3 linked regions of the Oryctolagus cuniculus genome follow. The protein of the gene in region 1 interacts with the protein of each later gene in a pairwise test. Links are inferred from orthologs where the notes say so. Each region holds a gene or a part of one and is shown on either strand. Other genes may lie near its edges.

Evidence for each region.
Region 2: the proteins of REL (region 1) and ATG9A interact in binary tests that used the Homo sapiens proteins (3 or more experiments, as listed by UniProt). The two-hybrid records come from large-scale screens. The link is inferred for Oryctolagus cuniculus from reciprocal best matches to the Homo sapiens genes REL and ATG9A.
Region 3: the proteins of REL (region 1) and SNRNP25 interact in binary tests that used the Homo sapiens proteins (3 or more experiments, as listed by UniProt). The two-hybrid records come from large-scale screens. The link is inferred for Oryctolagus cuniculus from reciprocal best matches to the Homo sapiens genes REL and SNRNP25.

The regions. Positions count from the first base shown.
Region 1 is NC_091433.1:141,782,739-141,786,267, forward strand, and holds part of REL (proto-oncogene c-Rel), read right to left. Parts: intron 3,351-3,529; coding exon 3,246-3,350; intron 3,138-3,245; coding exon 2,925-3,137; intron 1,599-2,924; coding exon 1,530-1,598; intron 1,402-1,529; coding exon 1,336-1,401; intron 1-1,335. UniProt on the Homo sapiens protein: Proto-oncogene that may play a role in differentiation and lymphopoiesis.
Region 2 is NC_091434.1:20,238,092-20,242,072, forward strand, and holds the start of ATG9A (autophagy-related protein 9A), read left to right. Parts: upstream 1-1,156; 5' UTR 1,157-1,341; intron 1,342-1,422; exon of another isoform or gene 1,423-1,686; intron 1,687-1,723; exon of another isoform or gene 1,724-1,784; intron 1,785-2,303; 5' UTR 2,304-2,361; intron 2,362-2,784; 5' UTR 2,785-2,813; coding exon 2,814-2,916; intron 2,917-3,034; coding exon 3,035-3,078; intron 3,079-3,953; coding exon 3,954-3,981. Other genes in the region: tRNA endonuclease ANKZF1, read right to left, coding at 475-597, 700-808. UniProt on the Homo sapiens protein: Phospholipid scramblase involved in autophagy by mediating autophagosomal membrane expansion. Cycles between the preautophagosomal structure/phagophore assembly site (PAS) and the cytoplasmic vesicle pool and supplies membrane for the growing autophagosome.
Region 3 is NC_091450.1:34,568,548-34,572,693, reverse strand, and holds SNRNP25 (U11/U12 small nuclear ribonucleoprotein 25 kDa protein), read left to right. Parts: upstream 1-1,321; 5' UTR 1,322-1,553; coding exon 1,554-1,595; intron 1,596-2,315; coding exon 2,316-2,406; intron 2,407-2,510; coding exon 2,511-2,616; intron 2,617-3,039; coding exon 3,040-3,114; intron 3,115-3,394; coding exon 3,395-3,452; 3' UTR 3,453-3,764; downstream 3,765-4,146. Other genes in the region: POLR3K (DNA-directed RNA polymerase III subunit RPC10), read right to left, coding at 1,010-1,120.

The DNA of each region.
Region 1 (3,529 bases):
CTAATGTGCACCCTGGGAGGTAGCAGATAATTGCTCAAGTAGTTGGGTCCCTACCACTCACTGAGAAAACCCAGATTAAATGCTTAGATTATGGCTTCGATTTGGCCCAGCCAAAGCTGTTGAAGGCATTTGGGGAGTAAATAAGTGGATAGGAGATCTCTGTCTTTTGAAGTAAGTAAAAATAGGTGAGCTAATTTTAAAAAAAATAATGTAATGGGGGAAAAAGACTACCAATTAATTTTTGGTTGTATTTTCTAAACCAGGGCTTGGCAAATTTTTTTCTGTAAGGGACCACATAGTATTTTAAGTTTTGTGGACTATATACACCCTCTATTAGGATTATTCCAACTCTGTTGCTGTACTGTAAAAAAGAGACTAGTTGGAAACAATATATAATGAAATGACTGTGGCTGTGTTCCAATCAAAATTTTTAAAAATAGATGACAGGGCCAGCACTGTTGTATACTGGGTAAAGCCACCACCTGCAGTACCAGCATCCCAAATGGATGCTGGTGTCCCAGCTGCTCCACTTCAGATCCAGCTCCCTGCTAATGTGCCTTGGAAAGCAGCAGAAGATGGCTTAAGTCCCTGGGCCCCTGCACCCACATGGAAGACCCGGAAGAAGCTTCTGGCTCCTTCAAATAACTCAATGAATGAATGAATAAATTAGTAAATATCAAACAAACAAAGGGTGATGGATGACACTGGCTTAAAAAAAAAAAAATCGGGGCTGATGCTGTGGTGAGTGGCCTAAGCATCCTCCTGCAAGGCTAGCATCCCATATGGGCACTGGTTCTAGTTCCAGCTGCTCTTCTTCTGATCCAGCTCTCTGCTATGGAAAGCAGTGGAAGATGGACTAACTGCTTGGGCCCTGGCACCTGCTTTGGAATCCTGGAAGAAGCTCCTGGCTCTTGGCTTTGGACCAGCTCAGCTCCAGCCATTGCAGCCAACTGGGGAGTGAACCAGCAGATGGAAGACCTTTCTCTCTCCCTCTCTCTCTCTGTAACTCTACCTCCCAAATAATAAATAAAATCTTTAAAAAAAATAAAAAATAAAAAAGATGACCAGCCAGATTTAAACCATTTCTTCCATGATACACTACAATTAATAATACCACCAAATAAATAAAATACAATTTCTTAGACAGTAAATCTGCAAAACATAATCTGTTTTCAGGGCAACTTTCAGGTACTGAGCTCAATTCATTCAATAATGAAAGCCTAAAAAAGTTTACAGGAGTGTTTAACAAAGAAGCAGTTACTCATTCCTAAAAATGGAATTCTTATATAAAATATTAGTCTGATGACAAGCAATATACTGTTGGGGATAAAATACCTTTTTTGATGAATCTTCCTTCTCCTGGTCCTCGGAAACCTGGTCTTGATCTCTCAGGAAAATTAACTGTTATGATAAAGTTTTCCCATTATTAAGTATAATTTGAAAAATAACATTATCAGTTAAAATTTGAAAAAAATGAAAAGCAAAATATATAACCTACATAAATATGAATCAATACAAAATACACTTACCGCAATCCTGCCACAGTTTGTGGAAAAGTAAAGTAGTTTTTTGTTTCTTTGATTTATTGCCGTAAGTATCTGATTAAAAAAGAAATGAAGAAAGCAGGTGAATCACCATGATTATGTTTCCTCTCCATTAATAAACAAACAGGCGTTTTATTTCAACAAGAATATGAAAATGCTTTAAATAAATGTACATAGTATGGACTTAGTAAGTATAAAAGTGTAAAGAATGTCCCAAACCAGTGGGAAAGAATATTTTATCGTGTAAAAATGTTTCAAATATTTATCTTGTTTGCTTCTAATACCTATAAGTTAACAACATCAACTAATAAAAAATGTTCTGATAAAAGAGCCAAAACAAAGACCAGTCTGAGTGGCAAGTTTCCCCTCTTTTAAAAGGATGCACAAGAGAAAAAAATAGAGCCTCAAAAATAAAACAGAAAATTTGATAAACAGCTCAAATACTCAAACAATTCCAGATTAATCAAACCTAAGAAACAGATGTAAAGCATGTAAAGGAAAAAAAAAATCAGAGCAGGTGTTTGGCAAAGTGTTAAGTTGCTGCTTGGGATGTCTGTATCCCTTATCAGAGTGTTTGGTTTGAGTCCTGGCTATTCCACTTCCAATCCAGGTTCCTGCTAATGTACACCATAGGAGGTAGCAGGTGATGGCCCAAGTAGTTGGGTTCAGGACCATCCATGTGGGAGACCAGAACTGAGCTCCAGGCCTCTGGCATTAGCCTGGTTGAGCCCTGGTTGTTGCAGGCATTTGAAGAGTGAAATAGCAGATGGAAGATCTTTCTCTCTGCCTTTCAAATAAAATGAGTATTTTTAAAAATAGAGGAATAGAAAAAAAATGAAAACTTTCAGGAAAAGAAACATACATTAATAACACGAGGTTTCAAAGAGTTCATGGAAAGGGGGCAGGTGTTTAGCCTAGCAGTTAAAGATGCTCGCATCCCACGTTGGAGTGCCTGGGTTTGATCGGTTTCCTGGCTCTAGCTCCTGACTCCTAGTTGTTAATACAGACACTGGGAGGCAGAAATGGGGGCTCACATAATTGGGTCCCTTCCCATGTGGGAGACCCAGATTGAGTTCCTGGTTCGGCCTAGACCCCAGCCCTGCCCCAACCATTCTGAGCATCTGAAGAGTGAACCAGCAGTTGGGAGCTTTCTTTCATTCAAATAAATTAAGAAATGTTTTAAAGATTGTTTTGAGAGGCAGAGTTATAGACAGAGAGAGGGAGAGGCAGAAAGAAAGGTCTTCCATCCGCTGGCATACTCCCCAAATGGCTGCAATGGCCGGAGCCAGGCCCATCCAAAAGCCAGGAGCCAGGAGCTTCTTCCAGGTCTCCCACGTGGGTGCAGGGGCCCAAGGATTATGGGCCACCAAAATGTCATACCTTTTTCATCTGGCAGATATCTAAAATCCATAGATTCACTAACTTCCTGGTCAGAAGGTCTCCGAAGCTGCATTTTTACCGTTACTGGTTCTGTGATAGCTTTGCAATATGGTGGAGTTTTGAAAACAATGGCTACTTGACGGTGTACATCAGCTTGTGAAAAGATGCCTTTTGCTTCCCAATCATTCAATACAAAACGAACTTCTATGTCATCTAGTAAATAAGAAACCAAAGAAATAACAAAGGGAAAACAAAATAAAATCCATCTATTAATCTAAAAACATTCTGAATTTAATGAACCAAAATACAAAAATGAAGTACCTTTTTGAACTTTGTCACAAAGTAGAAATATTTCATCTCCTCCTCTTACACTTCCGCAGTTCTTGTTTACACGACAAATCCTTAATTCTGCAGTATTTGGAGCACCTACAAAGAAACAATTTTTAAAATACGAGTTTCTACCTTGGTAAAATATTTCTTTTTGAAGGGGAGGACTTGAGGAAAACTATTTAAAGAATGTTTCAGCATACAAATAAAAGATACTAAACACATTAATCATCCACATCTGTCCCTTTCTTTTCTAACTGCTTCACCTAACTTGGTTT
Region 2 (3,981 bases), on another chromosome or scaffold:
GTTACTTTGGAAATAAAATTATTTTTAACTGTACAAAAGCCACCTCTCAGATGTCATTTTTTAAACTTACACTTCCAATTACACTGGGCAGTTTGTCTCAACAGAGGTACAAGAAAATATGTACAACTAATGTTGTATGAAAGCAATAATAAATGTTTTACATTCAGCCAAAAGGAATGATTTGATTGGAGTCCAGTTAAATCTGAAATACATCTAGGCATGTTAAAGTGTTTTTCAAGTGTAAGGGTAACGCGATGACACATGAGCAATGGCAAGAGTCTTATGTGGAGACGTTTGAGGGGGGCTGTGCTGGAAACTCCCAGTGAACAAATCCAGCACCCAAGCCGGGCAGTGCCAGGAAGCACGTGTGCCCGGAGAGCCAGCCCTCTCCGCCAGAGCCTCAGGAGTCCACCCCGAGCCTTCCCGGGTACCTGGACAGGAAGTAGGCAGAGCCTCCCCCGCAGCGTGGCTCACCAGGCTCACGCCTCGGAGGAGCGGCGCGTCCGCGCGGAGGTCCAGCAGGGAGACGGCCGCAGGGGCCGCAGCTGCAGCGGGAGCTGGCGACATAGCTGAGCGGGAACTGTTTGGAAGCCGCTCCTGGAACAGAACGAGGGAAAGAAACAGCTCGATCCAGCTGCCGCGTCTGCTGCCTGGCTGGCTGGGTCTCCGACGCCGCAAGGCACACCTCGGCCCTCCCACCTGCTATCGGCTCTGCGGTAAATCCTTGACACCACTCGGCTTTCTCAAACCCCTGGTCTCGGACCACCACCGAGTGAAATGGGGGAGCTCCCAATCCAGTCCAGCACATTTAAAATCACCGCGGTTGCCTAGCCGATCACGCTCCGTTCCTCGTGCTACAAGCCCCGGCAATGACCGACCGCGTAGACGCGTCCCCGCCCTCTGAAGCCATACCAAATGTCCCGGGAGCCCGGCGTACGCACGTCTCCAGTTCGAAAGCCGGATTCCGTAACACCACAACAATACCGTCACTACGGAGCAGCGAAGAGGACAAACCGCGGCGCCCGCACCTGAGCCCCGCCCCACGTAGAGCACCGCATTGGTCCTCTGATTGTCCAAGAACCGCCTCTAGCCTTTAGTCCCGCCCCCGGAGCCGAGAATTGGCCGTCGTGTCTCCACCCCCTATGTTCATTGGCCAGGCCGGCTGCGGGTGACAGTGAGTAGCAGAAGCCGGGCCTAGCGCTCCGGATCAGGCCGAGCTGGGCCGAACAGAGAGAGCCCAGGAATCGCTCGGGTCGCGGTTCCTGAGGTGACACGCGAGACCGGTTATTGAAATTCTAAGGCCCGGGCTGGGCCTGGCCTGGGGGGCCTGAGGAGCCCTAGGTGAGCTCGCGGCGGGTAACGGGGGAAGGGGCGCCGCGGGCGGGGTGGGGGCGCGCAGCCGAAATGTTTTGATAGCGGGCGCGCGCGCTGGGGGGCGCGCGTGGGCGGCGGGGCCGCGCTCGAGGTTGGCCGCTGTTGGGAACCGAGCCCTGGGCCCGGGGCCGGGCCACCCTGGGGCTCGCTGGGCTCGGGTCTCGGCGGCTGGGTGTAGGGAGGCAGCCCAGCCCGGCCAGGGTATCAGCTGTAGGACCGCCTCGATCCCCCCATCATCGGCCGGAACCCCCGAGCCCAGGCCCTGCCTGCCGGGGCTCCATGGGCCCTGGGTCTACACAGACCCAGTGAGTGGTAAGTTTCCTGAAGAGCAGGGCTCTTACTAACCCAGGGACTCCCACCGAGGCCAGGCTGAGCCAGGATCCCCAGTCCCCAGGGCCCACCCTCACTGGGTAAGTACCACCTCGCCCCTGCCCGGCTCCAGGATCCTATGAGCTCACAGATCCACCCAGGATCTGGAGTGTCCACTGAGTCAGGACTTCCTGTCCAGCTCTGCCCGCCTGCTGAGTCTTTGGTGCTGTGGACACAGGGGAATGGGGTGACCAGTGAGGTCCTCTTCAGAAGACTTCCCTGGGGGGTGTGGGCCCCGAGAAGCAGGTCTTGATCGCCAAAGCCAAGGTCAGGCAATGGAGGAGCGGTCCAGGGGGGCTGCTTGGCCTCAGAGCGGTAATGACTCAGTCTCTACAGGGTCAGTGACTTTCTCTCTGGGGTCCTGGAGCTGAATGAGTGGCCCTGTTTAGTATAGCCGGACGAAGTGCCCCTAGCCCTGGGCTGGAAGGGTGCCTCTTCCCCGGCTGCAGGCTTCCTGCCCAGGTTTGGCCTCCTCTTGGTGGTTCTTGGGTGGGGGGAAAGGTTGGGTTCCTTTCTGGCCCCTCTCCCCACCCTCTGGGGCCTGATGCCTTCTCCTCCAGCAGCGGCAGAGCCAGGGCATCGAGGGCTGGAGTGGAGCAGACACTGTCCATGGAGCTGGTAGGGCCATGTGCTTATCTCAAACCTTTGCTTACAGAATGCTTCCAAACTGCTAGTTTCTGGGGAAACCAGGCTTTCAGAAGGGGTAAAGGGAGGGACCCTCCACTGACTAGAAGATGAAACAGCCCCCACCCCACAGCCCTCGCCCCCCTCCCCCTAACACCAGGGGCAAATGCTGAATTCAGATCAGAAAGGCACTGTAGGCACCCAGTGAAGACTCTGGGAATGGCTGGCCAGAGCTAAGGCCTCCAACGCCCTAAACTTACTGTTTGCTTGGGTTTCTTCCCTTCTTCTGCCTCTGAGCCGCTGAGGGTGGTATAGAAACAAAGCGCAAGGAGTCTCTCTTCTTCTGGCCTGGGAGGCAGGGTAGCATGCAGGGGCACCTGGGTCTGAATCAGGGTTTCTTCTTCCTGTCACTGGCAGGTGGACCGGGTGGCCAGGGGGCGGCGGTGATGGCGCAGTTTGACACGGAATACCAGCGCCTAGAGGCCTCCTACAGCGACTCACCCCCTGGGGAGGAGGACCTGCTGGTGCACGTTGCTGAGGGGAGCAAGTGTGAGTCCTGGGGCGCGGCAGCCAGAGCCGGGGCATGGGAGAAAGCTGAGGGAGCACTGGGGGAACGAGGGGCTTGGGTTGCTTCAGGTCCCTGACATCTGTGCTCCTGTGTCCACAGCCCCTTGGCACCACATTGAAAACCTTGACCTCTTCTTCTCTCGAATATCCTTTGTGTCTCTGTGCCGGGGCCCTTTAGCCTCTCCCTAAGTCAGGTCCCTGATGGGAGGCCACAGTGGGTTTCACTCTGATCTCTGGAGGAGGAAATGGAGCTCATCCTGAGGCTGGTGAAATAATGACCGTGAAAAATAATGATGCGGCCGGCACCTCGGCTCACTAGGCTAATCCTCTGCCTGTGGCACCGGCACACCGGGTTCTAGTCCCGGTCGGGGTGCCGGATTCTGTCCCGGTTGCCCCCTTCCAGGCCAGCTCTCTGCTGTGGCCAGGGAGTGCAGTGGAGGATGGCCCAAGTGCTTGGGCCCTGCACCCCATGGGAGACCAGGAGAAGCACCTGGCTCCTGCCTTCGGATCAGCACGATGTGTGCCGGCCACGGCGGCCATTGGAGGGTGAACCAATGGCAAAGGAAGACCTTTCTCTCTGTCTCTCTCTCTCACTGTCCACTCTGCCTGTCAAAAAAAATTAATTAATTAAAATTAAAAAATAATTAAAAATAATGATGCCCCACGTTTACCGAGAGCTACTGCCCGCGTGCACTTTGTGGTGTTCATTTATAAGGGAACTAAGGGTGAGCCTCCTGTTTGATGAGATGTTAATAATCGTGATAATTAATGTCTTTTGACTCATTCAGTGTCTCTTCTGTGTTAGATATTTTACGTGTGTTATTTCAGACCTAATAATCTGATGAGACAGGTGTAATCATTCCTAAGCTACCACTATGGACAAAAGCTTAGAGGTGAAGGAACTTGGGCAGAGCCACACAGCTGGAAAGTCACAGAATGAGGACTTAAGTTCAGCTATGACATCAAACCCTGTGCTCTTAACGCTGCCTTTGCTGGTCGTTTCTTCTTAACAATTGCACGTTTATAATCTACACCAGAAGAATGGCT
Region 3 (4,146 bases), on another chromosome or scaffold:
CAGTGCGGGCGGCTCGCCGGCTGGACACCCCGGGGCTCCAGGTGCAGGGCAGACCAGTGCGCGCGGCTCGCCAACTGGACACCCCGGGGCTCCAGGTGCACGGCAGACCAGTGCGGGCGGCTCGCCGGCTGGACACCCCGGGGCTCCAGGTGGGTGCCAGGCCAGTGCGGGCGGCTCGCCGGCTGGGCACCCCGGGGCTCCAGGTGCAGGGCAGACCAGTGCGCGCGGCTGGCCGGCTGGACACCCCGGGGCTCCAGGTGGGTGCCAGGCCAGTGCGGGCGGCTCGCCGGCTGGACACCCCGGGGCTCCAGGTGGGTGCCAGGCCAGTGCGGGCGGCTCGCCAGTTGGACACCCTGGGGCTCCAGGTGCGTGCCAGGCCAGTGCGCGCGGCTCGCCGGCTGGGCACCCCGGGGCTCCAGGTGCACACCAGACCAGTGCGCGCGGCTCGCCAGCTGGACACCCCGGGGCTTCAGGTGCACGGCAGACCAGTGCGGGCGGCTGGCCGGCTGGACACCCCGGGGCTCCAGGTGGGTGCCAGGCCAGTGCGGGCGGCTGGCCGGCTGGACACCCCGGGGCTCCAGGTGGGTGCCAGGCCAGTGCGCGCGGCTCGCCGGCTGGACACCCCGGGGCTCCAGGTGCGAGCCAGGCGGCCGGACAAACACAGGGAAGGAGGCCTGCCGAGGCCTTCTGCCCTGGACCGCGCTCGGACCACAAGGCAGCAGAAGGGACCGAGGGGGGCGGGAGCACTCCAGGGAGCGCGAGTAAACGGAGGCCGCCCGAGGAACGCCGGGCGCCACGCGGGACGCGGAGCGGCACCGAGGGCGGCCGCGGCCGGAGCTGGAGCCGCCGCCCTGCCCCGACCAGGCGACTCCGAAACCAGCCCCAGAAGGGAGGCGGCGGCCGGGCCAGGCGAGAGGCGCCGGCGTGCGCGCGTCTTGGACAGATGCGCCCACAGGCCAGGGACGCGAGGCCGGGGCCGCCGGAGGCCGACCCTAACGTCGAGGCCCACCTTGCGGGTGATGTTGTGCACGTAGGGGCAGGTGTTGCAGGCGAAGCGGTGGCAGCGCTGGCCCTCCTCCACGATCAGCCCGTTCCCGCAGCCGGGGCAGAACAGCAGCATGGCGGCGCCCTGGCCCGCGCGCCCCCACGGCCGGAAGCTCCCTGGCCGCGCGACGCCGACACCCCGCCCACCTCGACCTCACGTTGGTCCCGGCGGCCCCCGCCGCTAGCCCACCAATAGACACGCCGACCCTCGCTCCCAGCCGGCCCTGCGGCAAGCCGCCTCGCACTCCCATTGGTTGGGGCGCCCGCCCCGCCCCTTGGCCCGCCGGTGGTTGGACGTCCTCACGGAGGTGGGCCCAGTCCGCGTCCGTGCTCCGCCTCCCGAGCGTGGAGTGGCTGGGCCGGCGGCCGGCGGCTCCGGGCTGGCGACCGTGGAGGCAGCGGAGCAGGCCGAGGAGGCCGAGGGGCCCGAGGTGCCGGAGGAGGATGAGGACGAAGAGGAGACGCTGCCTCACTCGGAAGCGGTGGACGTGTTCCAGGAGGGTCTCGCCATGGTGGTGCAGGACCCGCTGCTCTGCGACCTGCCGATCCAGGTGCGCGCGGCCAGAGCGGCCACCTGCCGCCGGAGAGGTGCTGATGGGGGACTGCGGCCGGCCTGGTCCGGGCCCGGCGTGAAGGGGCAGGGGAAACGGTGCCAAACTTGATGCAGAAGGTTGTCGGTAAAGGACAGTTGAAGAATGGGAGCTCCGGCTGCTCCGCTCCCTTCCGGCTCCCTGCCAGCGCTCCTCGGGGAGCGGCGGAGGGCGGCCCAGTGCCTGGGGCCCGGTGAGGCTCCCGGCCCCTGGCTTCGGCGTGGCCTAGCCCTGGGTGCTGGGGCCGTTTGCGGATGGAAGACTCGTGTTTCTCTCCCCTCTCCTTCCTCCCCGCCCCGCCCCCGTCAAATAAGTAGATGCAGAGGCGAATTTCCTCTAAGAAAAGTGTTATACTGCAGTCTTATCACTGCCGTGTGTTCCTGCCTTGTGTATTTTGCACACATGCCTCCCACTTAGTCCAGGGCTCTGGCCTGGATCCTGGTGACCAGGGGCTCTTGGGCAAACTGAAAGGCCCAGCGTCTCCCTCCTCCCCCCCCAGCAGCCCCTGGGGGCTCACTCTCCCTGCTTCCACAGCCATTCGGCATGAAATAGAGAAGTCGGGTGGAACCTGAGACTGAGGTGCTAAAGGGAGCCCCTCCCCCGGCCCTCCATAAAGTTTGGTTCCGTTTGGGCTGATAAACAAAGCCAGGGTTCCCACTGCCCCTGCTTGGCGCTTTCTAGGTGACTTTGGAAGAGATCAACTCCCAGATTGCACTAGAATACGGCCAAGCGATGACGGTCCGAGTGTCCAAGATGGACGGAGAAGTCATGCGTGAGTGCCGCTCTCCGCTTCAGATGGTAGCGGGCCTGGCCGTCGGGAAACCCGCAGGCGGAAGCCAGGGCTGTGAATCCCCACCCCACGTCTTCTCCCTGCAGCTGTGGTCGTGGTGCAGAACGCCACGGTCCTGGACCTGAAGAAGGCCATCCAGAGATACGTGCAGCTCAAGCAGGAGCGAGAAGGGGGCATTCAGCACATCAGCTGGTGAGTGGGACAGCAGCCCCGTCACGGCCCGTCACAGGGGCCTGCAGGAAAGCTCCCTCCGCTGCTCTTACACGTCTCTCGTCATGTCACCCAGCTGAGCTGCTGATACCTTCACTTGGGGACACTTAGGACACTAGTGTGTCCAGAAGTGGCCTCCCCAGTGTCGGCTGGAGCACCGTCCATGGCCTACGCTGGTGACAGCTGGAGCACCATCCGTGGCCCTGTCCCTTCCTCAGACACTGCTGGCCTCGCTGTCCTGCTGAGTCGCGTGTCCTCACAGCAGCTCAGCACTGCCGTCTGTCTCCTTCGCGAGGTGTGCGGGGCCCAGCTGCCCCTCTGCCCCTCTGGCAGGCCCCACGGCACTGTCCCCCCGAGCTGCCGCGCTCGGCCTGCTCGGGAGTTTACCTGAGGCCCCCCGTGCAGGTCCTACGTGTGGAGGACGTACCACCTGACCTCTGCGGGAGAGAAGCTCACAGAGGACAGGAAGAAGCTCCGCGAGTAAGTCCAGGGAGGGGTCACGTGGTCTGCTGCCTCCGCGGGGCTCAGGAGATGGCAGGCAGCGGAGCAGAGCATGGGCACTGCTGGTTCTCTCCAGCCGTGGCTCAGGGCTGCACAGCTCGGGGCGACGCGTGCAAGTGAACCGCGGCCGGCTGCTCCTCTCGGGCCTGCGGGCGGGCGCGCACGCCTCACCTGTGGCTCACTCGGGGTCTCCCACACCCCTGCGGTGGGGACTTACACACCCACCTGCAGTCAGACACTGCGCCTTTTGTCCTTTCAGTTACGGGATCCGCAATCGGGACGAGGTTTCCTTCATCAAAAAGCTGAGGCAGAAGTGAGCCTCCAGACAAGACAGCCCTGCACCAGTGGCCAGGCTCCTCCTGGGCTGTGCCCCTTCACAGAACGGCTGTTGACGCAGCCTGGCCGTGCCCAGCACGAGCTGTCAGGACTGAGCAGCACGGGGTGGGGCTGGTTCTCCCCGGGAGCATGACCTGAGCCTGTTTTTACCCGAGGGTAAGCACCCGAGCCACCAGCAGACCCCCCGGGCTGTTTGGCCCCACCCACTGTACAGAATGAACTGTGTGCTGGGGGTCTGGCCCCACCCTCTGTGCAAAATAAACTGTGTGGTCTGGCCTGGCCCCTGTATAGAATGAACTGTGTGCTGTGGGGTCTGGCCTGGCCCCTGTATAGAATGAACTGTGTGCTGTGGGTCTGGCCTGGCCCCTGTATAGAATGAACTGTGTGCTGTGGGGTCTGGCCTGGCCCCTGTATAGAATGAACTGTGTGCTGTGGGGTCTGGCCTGGCCCCTGTATAGAATGAACCTGTGTGCTGTGGGGTCTGGCCTGGCCCCTGTATAGAATGAACTGTGTGCTGTGGGTCTGGCCCCTGTATAGAATGAACTGTGTGCTGTGGGTCTGCCCCCTGTATAGAATGAACTGTGTGCTGTGGGGTCTGGCCTGGCCCCTGTATAGAATGAACTGTGTGCTGTGGGTCTGGCCTGGCCCCTGTATAGAATGAACTGTGTGCTGTGG